Arabidopsis thaliana: one gene and its partner. The protein of the gene in region 2 interacts with the protein of the main gene of each other region in a pairwise test. Each region holds a gene or a part of one and is shown on either strand. Other genes may lie near its edges.

What was found. Proteins that work in one complex are often made in the same cells at the same time.
Region 1: the proteins of IMPA-4 (region 2) and AT5G10710 interact in a two-hybrid assay, tested with the Arabidopsis thaliana proteins (one large-scale study listed by BioGRID).

What each region holds. Positions count from the first base shown.
Region 1 is NC_003076.8:3,377,340-3,383,376, forward strand, and holds AT5G10710 (centromere protein O), read left to right. Parts: upstream 1-1,616; 5' UTR 1,617-1,875; intron 1,876-2,245; 5' UTR 2,246-2,279; coding exon 2,280-2,291; intron 2,292-2,387; coding exon 2,388-2,436; intron 2,437-2,536; coding exon 2,537-2,585; intron 2,586-2,669; coding exon 2,670-2,740; intron 2,741-2,868; coding exon 2,869-2,927; intron 2,928-2,986; coding exon of another isoform or gene 2,987-3,003; intron 3,004-3,181; coding exon 3,182-3,280; intron 3,281-3,760; coding exon 3,761-3,818; intron 3,819-4,050; coding exon 4,051-4,187; intron 4,188-4,262; coding exon 4,263-4,319; intron 4,320-4,760; coding exon 4,761-4,858; coding exon of another isoform or gene 4,859-4,874; exon of another isoform or gene 4,875-4,987; coding exon 4,988-5,169; intron 5,170-5,241; coding exon 5,242-5,309; 3' UTR 5,310-5,527; downstream 5,528-6,037. Other genes in the region: AT5G10695 (methionyl-tRNA synthetase), read left to right, coding at 478-681; AT5G10700 (Peptidyl-tRNA hydrolase II (PTH2) family protein), read right to left, coding at 714-762, 890-1,068, 1,154-1,528.
Region 2 is NC_003070.9:2,992,474-2,998,775, forward strand, and holds IMPA-4 (importin alpha), read left to right. Parts: upstream 1-1,857; 5' UTR 1,858-2,032; coding exon 2,033-2,263; intron 2,264-2,673; coding exon 2,674-2,770; intron 2,771-2,871; coding exon 2,872-2,963; intron 2,964-3,063; coding exon 3,064-3,195; intron 3,196-3,419; coding exon 3,420-3,605; intron 3,606-3,753; coding exon 3,754-3,917; intron 3,918-4,164; coding exon 4,165-4,243; intron 4,244-4,327; coding exon 4,328-4,456; intron 4,457-4,728; coding exon 4,729-4,856; intron 4,857-4,981; coding exon 4,982-5,360; 3' UTR 5,361-5,365; exon of another isoform or gene 5,366-5,446; 3' UTR 5,447-5,735; downstream 5,736-6,302. Other genes in the region: AT1G09260 (Chaperone DnaJ-domain superfamily protein), read left to right, coding at 931-1,347; AT1G09280 (rhodanese-like domain protein), read right to left, coding at 5,736-6,302. UniProt on the Arabidopsis thaliana protein: Binds to conventional NLS motifs and mediates nuclear protein import across the nuclear envelope. Acts as a cellular receptor for the nuclear import of the virD2 protein of Agrobacterium and is essential for Agrobacterium-mediated root transformation.

The sequences.
Region 1 (6,037 bases), on a different chromosome or scaffold from region 2:
GAGACCAGAAGCTACCCATCCGCCATTGATGGGCTTCAAGCTTCACCTTGAGGCTTGAGCTAATCGAAATAGATAACGTTGGAGAGAATCTGAAATCACAGCAACAACAATCAGTCAAGTTATTCTTCACCTTGGCGGGTCGAACAAATGTTACACAGTGTGGAGATTTAACAAATTTGGGCCTTGAGCTTTGAACATTAAAGCCCAATATACTTATATTCAACGTTGACGTGAGTTTTGACTTTTCGTTCCCCTAATCCAAAATTGCTTCTAGATTAAGCTATATCTCTCCAGAACTAATTTTCGACACTGCAACTTTTTTGACGCGGAAACAAAATATGAAATATCCTAAATTCCATGGAGTCTCAATCTCATCCTTATAAATATCATCAAAACTACAACCCTTTTTAACGCGGAAACAAAAAACTAAGAACGGTTCCATTTGTTTTCATTGTCTAGAAGAGAAGAAGAAGAAGGATGTGTTTGGTGTTCGTGTGTGATCAGGACGAGAGGGTGATCGGAAGGTACGCAGCTCCTGGAGCGTGTCCGTACTGCGGAGGAGCGGTTCAAGTGGTTGACGTAAATAGCCAGTGGAGATTCTGCTTCGTTCCTCTCTCTAATAAATCCAAACGTCGTCATCTCTGTTCCACTTGCGGCAAACGACTCATCGTCCATGGCTGAAAACAAAACTCCCACCTCATACGAGATCATTTCTATATGTACATATATCCAAATCTCTGACTTGCTTTGTGTATCGTGTTTCTAAACGTTTGTAAGAAAAAGAAAAGAACATGTCTTCTCTTTTATGATTTCTCTGTATATGTATGAATCATGATTATGAAAATGAGAATTTTAAGAAATTGGGATTTTGGAGAACAAGAATGATCACTTGCAAAGCTTGAGCTTTTTGAAGAAAGAAGAGACTTGGGATTTAGGATAAGGCTTTGTAGCAATACACGTCGGAATATTCTCCGGCTGCTCCATCCATAGCTTATGAGAGATTCCTCCTAATTTCAGCTTCTCTGACAAATTCATCATCTGCGTTTCCCCTTTAACTTCCAGAGTCACCTAATCCCCAAAAAATAAAGTGTTTTAATTAATCCACCATTGATTCCGGCCAGAGAACTCTAAAATTAGGGTCATGTTGACTAACCTTATGCATAGAATCAATGTGCTGCGGATCACAGTACTGAAGCGTGACCGGATCGTCTTTGAACGACCAGATCGCTGCCACTGACGCATGACATCCTTGTGTTACAACGCTCCCAAGTGGCCACGAATCGATTAGATCTCGTCGAAGCACAACGTATTGCACCACGACGTCGTCGGGTTTCTCCGCCGACGAAGCATCGACGACGGCATCGATTTCGCCAGTCTGCTGGCTCATTGAAGGAGAAGCCGTTGTGAATCTTCGGAAATGAGCAAATCGGATCGTAGAATGATAAAACCTAATTCGCGGCGCCGGAGCAGAGAGTCGGCGGGTAACTATCGGGAATCGAAACGCTGCGGAGAGGACGGCGGTCGCCATATGAAAGGAAGACGCACATGGACTTTTGCTATTGGATAAGATTTTTCTTAATGGGCTTTTAGTAGACCCAGTTATTTTCTGATGTCTCCTCAATTAAAATCAAATCTAAATTCGCTCTGGTTTATCACTTAAACGGCATAACCAAACTATTTCATTCGCTCGAAATCCAAACCAAATAAATTGATTCTTATTTTCCTGATTACTCTTTTCTCCTTTCGCGGTTGAGATTTTATGATCTTTCCGAACGAAATCAAGCATTCCGACGTCCGTACACTATCCGGCGCTGCTTAAACCGTCTCTCGTCGCCTGTCTGATCTGTTATCTTCTCTACTCTCCGGTGTCGTTGAGTAATCATTCTTTTCTTCTTCTGATAGAGTTAATTTTCTTTGTTATATGTTTGAGGCTGCTGCACGAAATTTTAGCTGTAATCCTCTGAAAACAAGCTCTGCTGATAGGCATGATAGGGTTTCTAAATCAGGCTTGTTTCTGTTTTGTATCGTTCCAGTGTGTTAATACTGAGCAGAAATCGTGATTTCGCTGAGTATAACTCTTGTTGATTTGGTCGCTTTAGGGTTTTGCTTCTCACTCGTTTTTTCAGTGTTGCAATTTGTTTGAATTATAGAATTACTTGGAAATACTAGCTGATTTAGATGTGATGTATGAACATTGAAAATTTTGGTGTAGAGATTGATTATCAACTTCTCTGCTTTTTGGTAGGAGCTTGGTCAAAAGACCTCTTGATAAGCAAAATATGGGAGAAATGGTAAATTACACACCCTTTCCAGGTTTTTTATTTTCTTTTTCCAATTGTTACCTTGAAAAAGGCAGATTCCACAACATTTGCTTTCGTTGCAAATAGATTGTTTCAATGGACCAAGATATCCGACTGGATACAACACGAGCAAGATGTGAGTAAACAGCTTTTCTTGTGCTTCAGATCCTTTTCTTTCTTTTTTTGGTTTAAAGCTTTCTGGTAATAATTAGTCAATCTTTATGCTCCTTTCCTAGTGTCAAACCTTCTCAAGAGGCATCGAGAATTGTCAGACCGTCTTACTAGGTAGGAAATATGCTTTTGAACTATATAGTTCACTTCTCGATCTTTATGTTTGCTAAGTTTGTATTTGGTGATCATTCATTTTAGGGATTCTGATAAGACAATGTTAGATCGCTTAAACAAAGAATTTGAAGCTGCACGGAGATCCCAAAGTCAGGGTGGGTATGGATAGCTGAATTGCAGAATTGGACGAATTATCTAACTGACTTTTTTTTTGCTTCATAAGTATTTGCTCATCCGTGTATCTATTTTAATCAAATGCTGTATTTGCTCCTATCCTCTGCAGAAGTCTTCTTAGATGGGGAAGAGTGGAATGATGGTTTGTTGGCCACATTAAGGGAACGGGTATGGCATCCATCATTGTGTGCTTCCTTTTATTGTCAACATTGTTGTGTACTTAAAAGAGGTGTTCCAAGCCTTGGTATCTAGTTGAAGAAGACTTAGTAGACACTTTAATAAGGGCAGATCTAGATTTGATTATGTCGTTCTGATAAAAAGAGTTATATGTTCTTTGTGCTATGAAATCTTTTATGCCATCTTTTTCTTTTCTTCTGTTGGCTTTATTGAATTTTTCCTGAACTTGACCATGAACTGTGTAGGTGCATATGGAAGCTGACAGAAAGGCAGATAACGGTAATGCAGGTTTTTCACTAGTTTGTCATCCTGAAGAACGAATTACTTACAGAGTGGGAAATAAGGTACTCCTGAGGTCTTACATTCTTCCAAATTTCTTCTGTAGAGAAATTGATTTTGTTTGTACCCAAGGTCTGTTGGTGTAAGCCTTATCTAAGTCTATATAGCACAGAATTTACCATGATTCTTTCAAGATACCCGCAAGGAAGACTACTTCTGTCACAAAAGATATACTATATGGCTGTAGAAATTTCTGGATAGTCCAAAGGAAACCTATCGTTTTGTTCATTCATCTTGGCCGGATGCAATGTTTGCCTAAAAGATAGATCCAATCAGACCAATCTTGGTTGTATACTTGTATATCTTTGTTGAAGAATGTTGATTGTTGTAATGTTGTGTCTTCCCCCAAATTTTGTAGTTGCTACAAACTTTCCTGATTTTAAAGTTTTGACTGACACCTGGCTAATCTTAAGTTTAGAATGACCTCTCACTTTGAATCGATACCAGGTCGTTTTTGCTTATATATTTGGTGTTTTATCAAACAGGTGATATGTTGCCTAGATGGATCGAGAATTGGAATACAGTTTGAAACATCTACTGCAGGTATTTTGAACTATAACTGGCATTTTGTCACAATTTCCAAGTGTTTTTTCTTTACCAAAAATTATTAGCAGTTATCATAATGATTTTTTCTTCAAAGGTTTCTTACCTTTTGGCGTGTCAGTGAAAGAGAGTTAGCTGTTTTGTCTCCATATTTCTATGTATATGAAGACATTGGGACTTTTCCTAACCTTTTCATCTCCCTGTATATGATAATTAAATCCGTTTTATATAGGAGAAACTTACGAGGTTTACCACTGTGTGCTTGAGAGCAAGTCGTTTTTGGAGAAGATGATTGTGCTTGAGCACACAATTCCTTTCTTTTTGCCGCTAAGTGACTTGGAAAATGATCTTCTTTTTTCGAATGCTAAGGTACCTGATCTTCAGTTTATCCTCTTACTTCCTTGTCTCTTATATGTTTTTGGTTTTAACATTTTTCGATGCCAGAAATTCATCGATAATGTTGGGGATCTCCTGCAAGCATATGTGGACAGAAAGGAACAGGTTTGTCAAAAATCTAGATCATGAGTAGATGTTCAAACTTAGATTGTGCTTGTCATATTGGCCTTTTAAATTGTTGTTTTCGGTCATGACTTCTTAAGTTTTTAACCTGCTGGCTTCTTGTTCAATTTGTTTCTCAGTAAAAATACATCAATATGCTCTCTAGATAGCAATGAAAATGGTACTAAAATCATGTGACCAGTTAACTTGGAGTAAGAGAATCTCAGCACTAATGTATCATCAACCTTGTCAGATTAGGATATGAAATGATTTTTAGATGTATTTATTTTATAATGAAAAACGGGGCCAAATAATCTGGTGTGACTATACCGGGTGTGTTGTTATTCACCACTGTCGGTGAAATATGCACCAAAAGTCTAAAGTGTTAGGAACCTCTTAAATTTCACAAGTTAACCAGGATGCTTCTCCTGAATTTCATTATAGGTCCGGCTTATCAAAGAGCTCTTTGGACATCAGATCAGTGAGATTTATCACAGTCTTCCTTACCACATGATTGAATTTTCTATGGATGATTGTGACTGGTTAGCAATTTCATAGATCCATATACTTCCTCTTAACTGCTGCTACACTAGATATTGATGTGGCCATGTTGCCACTTAAAATTTTGTTTTTATAACCTTTTAAAAAACCAGATATGTTTTGGATTATAGCAAGTTCGTGGTGAGCCTTAGATATGGAGATCTTCTGTGTGAACTTCCGACAAAAGTGAGAATTCTAGTATGGCCAATGCATCATCTGTCGAAGAAACAGTGTACAAGCCCTGGAAGTCCAGCAATCCCTGTGCGTTTACCATTTGCCGAGGATGCTTTCCGGATCCAATCACTACCTGAAGGTATTCCTAGTTTAAATAACGATCTGTTTAAGTTATGTTTCTACGGTTTATTTATTCTTTTGTTCATTGCAGCATACGCAGAGATTATGCCGAACATGCCGAATGAAATTCGGCAATTATTTCAGACTAGTCCAAGCTAAAAGTTGAAGCTGTGTGCAAACTTTCTACTTGTCTCGTTGCTTCGTTGTATGATGTTTGATTTTGATCCTTGTTCCAAACTGTTAAAATAGTGCTATGAAGAATACCTTTTACAGAATGGATTTGTTCTGCTATTCTATTCCGGTTAAATTGTGCTGCTTCATCGATTAGCCCATTACTAACTGCTCGAAACAGAAACAGATAGATGTATGAAGTTTTGTTCTCTATGGCATACTGTGGTTCGATCATATCCTTCATGAATTTACGCACTTGAAAGTCAAAAGTGGCTGTAAATCAACTAAACTTATCTACAATGAGAAGAGATATACATTTGTTTTCTTGGTCCACCATTTAGCAATTTTTCATATTAAAGATCCTAGTTGAAGTAATTAAAAACGAAAAGTATGTTACTAAATATGAAATTACGGTGATGGTAAGGAATCCCGGAGTTGTGTTACCCACTTTGAATTATCTTTTCACAAATCCATCCATGCAAAAACTTTAAGAGTCACTACTTATTTTTGTTGCTGTTCCTTCCCCCATCACTTGTCATATCACAATTTAAGAGATTATGCTCCTTAAACATATCGGAACTTAACATAGAAAGTTCTTGATAAATGAAAAATTTGTTCATTGTTTCAATTATTTTTACTGTATGAAAGAATTCAAATGGGTTTGTACTTGGCAAATTACTTTTTGTATTTTTCAATGAGTTTTTTCTCAAAAAAAA
Region 2 (6,302 bases):
TTTGAGAAAAATTCAATCTGCCTTTATAAATCGTCTTTTTTGGTTACTTGGATCTGTTACGTTTCTACAATGAACCAAATTAAACAACTATGGTGTTTTCATTAAGCAAACTAAACAACTACAGCTATATAAGTGGAGATATGGAAAGGGGTCATGTTCCTACATTCCAGAACAAAGGATCATATCTTTATTACTGTGAAAGAAATGACAATTTTTTAAATAAATAAAATGTAATTTCTTCAATTTTGTTTTTTGTAATTTTACAATGAGTGCAACATTTTAGTAAATGTTTTTATGCTATTATACAAATCAAACGAGAATATTAAAATGACATAGTCACGAAATCAAATTTATTGAGAGTAAGCTTGATAAATCAAATTTAGAACTAACCAAATCTTTGACTTTCTTATTTGCTCTCACATTCCTGAACAGTTAGATCAATCGTACTCTCCAACTTTTCTACGCACAAAATTTAAAAATTTGATAGTTTTTCTTTTCATTAAATAAAAGACGAGAAACGGTTATATTTGCCTGAGTAGAAACCGCCGATAACAACAAAGTGGAAAATATGGCTAGTTTGTATTTTTAAGTAATTTCTCGATTTAATTTACTTAGGACAAAAATGTATTTATAGAGAAATCGTGCTTTTATTTATTTATTGAGAAGATTCTTTTTTGTTGTTTTGTAAATATTTATTTAACATTTTTATTGGTACAGTGACTTATGTTTTACAATATAAAGGATTTATAAAAATAAAAATTATTTTTCTTTGTCTCTTAAATATGGATATACCCAAATATCATTTTCCATAAAAATTCGGTGTTATCCAAATCTCAAAACCCTATTTTTCATAGATGTTTTTGTTTCTCTTATAAATTCATCACTGAATCTCTCATGCTCACCATTAATTCTCAGCAATAAAAACAAAGAATGAACGATTCAATGAAAGCTCCAAAATTCTTTAAAAACCAGCTAAAACTAGCGGAAGCACATTATCAAAGAGGTAATCTAAAAGGAGCCATTGAAATCGTGAATGACTTAACGTTTGGTCACCCAAACACATCTTCAAACCACCATGAGATCTCACAGATTCTCCTCGCCTATCAAATCAACTTGACTAGCCAAAAAGCCAGTTTCACACACTACGATATCTTGAGAATCTCAAATCCGTTCTGTAGCCATCAGATGATTCAAAGAAAGTACAGAGACATCTTGGTTAAGCTCTACCCCGACACAAATAAATCTATTGCCGCCAAATCAGCTTTCGAGATTATTAATTATGCGTGGAAGATCTTGTCCGATCCTGAAAAACGAAAAGATTACAATATCAAAAAAAGGTTTAAGTGAAGATGATTCATGTCTCCAGAAGATCATGAACCACATCAAACAGTGAGGCAAGGGTTTCATGTCTTTCTTGGGAATTGGAATACAAAACCTATTTGTTCTTCTTCTTTTTTTAGGTTAATTTTATGATTTTATTTTATTTTATCTAGGTATTAATTCCAAGTAAACTTGTGACAGTTTGAAAGTGCTAATGGATATTTTTACAAACTTTTTTTGAATTTATTTAAATGCAAAATTTACAGTTTTGCTGCCATAATAATTATGATTTGATAAGAAAAGTTACGATTCTAGTAGAGTTTGCTTTTCGTTGGAATAACGTGATTATATTTATTTTATTTTAATACAAGATAATTACATATAATGATATAATATGTTGCGAAAAAAGTCTCTGATTCTTGGGAGAAAAGATTCGAAAAGAAGGAAGGATCCAACAAAATCCGAAATTATTATTAACTGAAAAAACAAAAATTTTGCGCCAGCGTGGCAATACTTCTCTGTCAGGAGGAAGGATCCAACAACCAATAAAACTCCGACCCGGATCCGAACCCGAAAGCACCAGACGACTCGTCCTCCACGATCCCAATTTCTCCAATTTCAATTTTGCCAAAGAGCGAGAGAGAAGGAAGAAGATCCAGACGAAGTGGTTTGCCTTCAGGGAACGAGAGAGAGAAAGAGATTTTAACAAACGATGTCGCTGAGGCCGAGCACACGCGCGGAGCTAAGGAAGAAGATATACAAGACAGGCGTCGATGCCGATGAGGCCAGGCGGAGGAGAGAGGACAATCTCGTCGAGATTAGGAAAAACAAGCGTGAGGATAGTCTTCTCAAGAAGCGTCGTGAAGGAATGATGCTTCAGCAGCAGCTGCCTCTCGGAGCTGGCCTTGATGGTCCCCAGACCGCTGCCGCCGTTGAGAAACGAGTAAGTTCCCTTTGATCTGAATTTCGATACAATTGTGCGTGATTTTGTGATTTGGATCACATGATTTGATTATTTAGTGATGGATCTTTGTTTGATTGTTGAAAAAAGTGAGGCTTTGATTCTGTTTCCTACCTCAATTCTAGATCTCAGCTCCCAATCTCATAATTGACCATCAAAGTTTAGTTTTTTGTTTTTGGGAATTTGTTTATGGATATTTGGGATTGATAGCGGATCCTGGATGACCATGTATGCTGATCGCAATGTATAGTGTGCTTTAGTTAGATATCGGAATTTCTATCTTCTGATCCGATGATCTTGTCAATGGATTGGATGTGTTACATTTCTAGCCAAGGAGAGGTTTTCGTTTCTGTGGAAACAACTGTTTGATTACGTTCATGTGCTTTTGACAGTTAGAAGGTATCCCAATGATGGTACAAGGTGTTTATTCTGATGATCCTCAAGCTCAGCTAGAAGCGACTACCCAATTTAGAAAGTTGTTATCTATAGGTAGGTATACATTTGTTCCTTTCAGAAGCAATTTTCTGTTCTGGGGTTGTATGTGTGTAATAGACTTCTGATGGTTGCTTGTAACACGGTTTGATAAACAGAGCGTAGTCCTCCAATTGATGAAGTGATCAAAGCTGGGGTTATCCCTCGATTTGTGGAGTTTCTTGGAAGGCATGACCATCCTCAATTGCAGGTATGTCTTGTACTTCTTTCATTTTTAGATTTGTTCTTTATTAATTGCACCTTGAAGACTCAAGAATAGTTTGGTGGCTTAATGAAAAGTTTGTTTGCAGTTTGAGGCTGCATGGGCTTTGACCAATGTTGCGTCAGGAACATCAGATCATACTCGGGTTGTAATCGAACAGGGGGCGGTTCCTATCTTCGTTAAGCTTCTTACATCTGCTAGTGATGACGTTCGAGAGCAGGTTTGCCACTAACTAGCTAGATAACTGCGTGCTTCCATTTTGTATATGTGACCTGGTCCACCTGGATACATGCCTCTAAGTTCCGTGGTCGTATTTGGTTTGTTTGTTGTTTGTTTTGATCCTTAGTGGTTTTTCGTGATATAGTCAGCCAACTGCTTTTCCGTAGTCATAGGTGCTATAACTTTTTATGGCTTCGTACAAACCCTTACATGATATCATTGTAGGCGGTGTGGGCCTTGGGAAATGTTGCTGGGGACTCTCCAAACTGCAGGAATCTTGTTCTCAACTATGGGGCCCTTGAGCCATTGCTGGCTCAGTTAAATGAAAATTCTAAGTTGTCCATGCTAAGAAATGCTACATGGACCTTGTCCAACTTTTGTCGTGGTAAACCACCAACACCATTTGAACAGGTATGACTACAGGAATGGCTTCTCTTTGATTTTTCTGGACAACTTATGATTGATGGTTCTAGTTTATTTATTTATTGTTATTATTATATTTGTTTCGTTGTGTTCCTTACTTTACTCAAGCCTAGTGTTGGTTATTCATATGTTTCAGGTGAAGCCTGCGTTGCCAATTCTTCGGCAGCTTATCTATCTGAATGATGAAGAGGTTCTCACTGATGCTTGCTGGGCTCTCTCCTACCTTTCAGATGGCCCCAATGATAAGATTCAGGCTGTGATTGAGGCAGGTGTCTGTCCACGACTTGTGGAGCTTTTGGGGTTAGTTCTTTTTTTCCTGACCAATAATTGACTAGACATTATTTTTGTTTATTTCTCATCATATTTAGTCTCTCTATAAAAGTTTGTCTATCTCAATAAAGGTGTTGGTATCTTCAAATTTGTGATGCTTTTTGAGTATCTTCTGGCAACTGAATGTTGATGTTCTTACTATCTCATATTCTTGTTCCTTTTGTTTATTTTTTTTTTCCTTGGTGCATCTATACTAATTAATATATCTTTCTTCAAGTCATCAATCACCTACGGTTCTCATTCCTGCTCTTCGAACTGTTGGGAACATCGTAACTGGTGATGACTCTCAGACACAGGTATGATTTATGACGAACGACTATTTATGTTGTTTTGGGTATTTGTTTTGAGATTTTGACTATGACTGTGTCTTTGCTTGTCAGTTTATAATTGAGAGTGGCGTACTACCACACCTTTATAATTTGCTGACGCAAAATCACAAGAAAAGTATAAAAAAAGAAGCTTGTTGGACTATCTCGAATATTACTGCTGGGAATAAACTTCAGATAGAGGTATGCGGTTTTTTTGTTGCTATCTCTAATATGTCAAGAAGACGGCTGTTCATGGAAGATATTCATTTCTGATTCTGGAAGAAAAGTGAAGAAGTTACTCTTTTCTTAACTTTTTAGTAGAGCGAGCTAATTTTAGTACTTTCATATTTTCCAATGACTTCTCTGCCTAGAAACCTAATTATACCCTATTTGCTACTGAAAATATTGAGATTAATTAAAGTTTCAGAGGCTAAAAGCAATTTTTTAATCAGTTTATATATTTGAAACAATAGGCTGTGGTTGGCGCTGGAATAATCCTCCCTCTTGTGCACTTGCTCCAAAACGCGGAGTTCGATATAAAGAAGGAAGCTGCTTGGGCTATTTCCAATGCCACATCAGGAGGGTCACATGAGCAGATTCAGTATGTCATCTCTATTCTGAAGCGCATTTGCAAACAACTAACTTCACTTCATAGTGTTCCTTCTTAGTCTTATACCATTATCTATCTCGAAATCGAAAAATGCCATAACACAGTTTTGCATGCAGATATTTGGTGACCCAAGGCTGCATCAAACCACTTTGTGATCTTCTAATCTGCCCTGATCCAAGGATCGTGACAGTGTGCCTCGAGGGTCTTGAAAACATTCTCAAGGTTGGTGAGGCTGACAAGGAAATGGGATTAAACAGTGGGGTGAATCTCTATGCTCAAATAATAGAAGAATCTGATGGGTTGGACAAAGTCGAAAACCTTCAATCCCATGATAACAACGAGATATATGAGAAGGCCGTTAAGATATTGGAGAGATATTGGGCTGAAGAAGAGGAAGAACAGATTCTGCAGGACGGCGGGAATGACAATTCACAACAGGCTTTCAATTTTGGGAACAATCCCGCTGCTCCCGTTGGTGGATTCAAATTTGCCTGAAAAAGGTATACAGTAGTACAAATTGAAATCCTTTGGTTTGGGAAACATGAGATTCAGCTTTTGCAACTGTTATTGACAATTGCCAGGTTCAAGTTCGACTTTTTGAGTTCTGGTGCAAAAAGGCTTATTTTTCTGTTTTTTTTTCTTTTTGTTGTTGATGTTGTCCTTATTTGTCTGAATCATTCTCTGATTCTGTATCTTAAACTCTGCTATGAATTATGTGTAGTGTGGTTTCTGGTTTAGGATATGGTACACTTTGTATTTGTCACTTTAATCTTTGTCGTCGTTATAGTTTAATAACTTTTACTTGGCAAGAGTACAAGTACAAGAAATATTTGATTGCAAAAGAGTCTTCTTGTCTTGTTAATAAAGTCCTCAAATGAATTGGTAAAGGAAAGCTTTAATCTCATCAATATAAGGAGACTTTGTAGGAATGATGTGGCCAAAATCGTGCTCAACAATGGTGGCGCAACCATCTTCAAACAACCCCGCCAGGTCTGAGCTGGCTTGAGTCACAATTTGTCTGTCTTTTCCAGGCTGACTTCCGAATATGTGAAGTGAAGGGCATTTAATCGATCGTTTCTCCTTCATCTCCAACAATGGCCACGGTGTGAAACCCGAGCACAACACGCAGAATCTGAAGTCTATTTCACCTACGAGCTGCTCCTGTTTCCCACATACAGCCGCAGCCATTGCTGCACCTTGAGAGAATCCGAGAATGCCATCAAAAGGCCCTTTCTCTTCAAATGCCGTCTTCAAGTATGTCAACGATTTATCAAACCCTTCAGTTTGAGTCTGATACTGCAATGGATCGAACTGGCATTGGGCCACTGTCCAGCCTGTTTCACTCGGTTTATCAAAATCTGATGACACCAACCACGCAAACTTCTTATTGCATACTCCGGATGGAGGGGTAGCAGTTTGGTAGATGAACTGTAATTC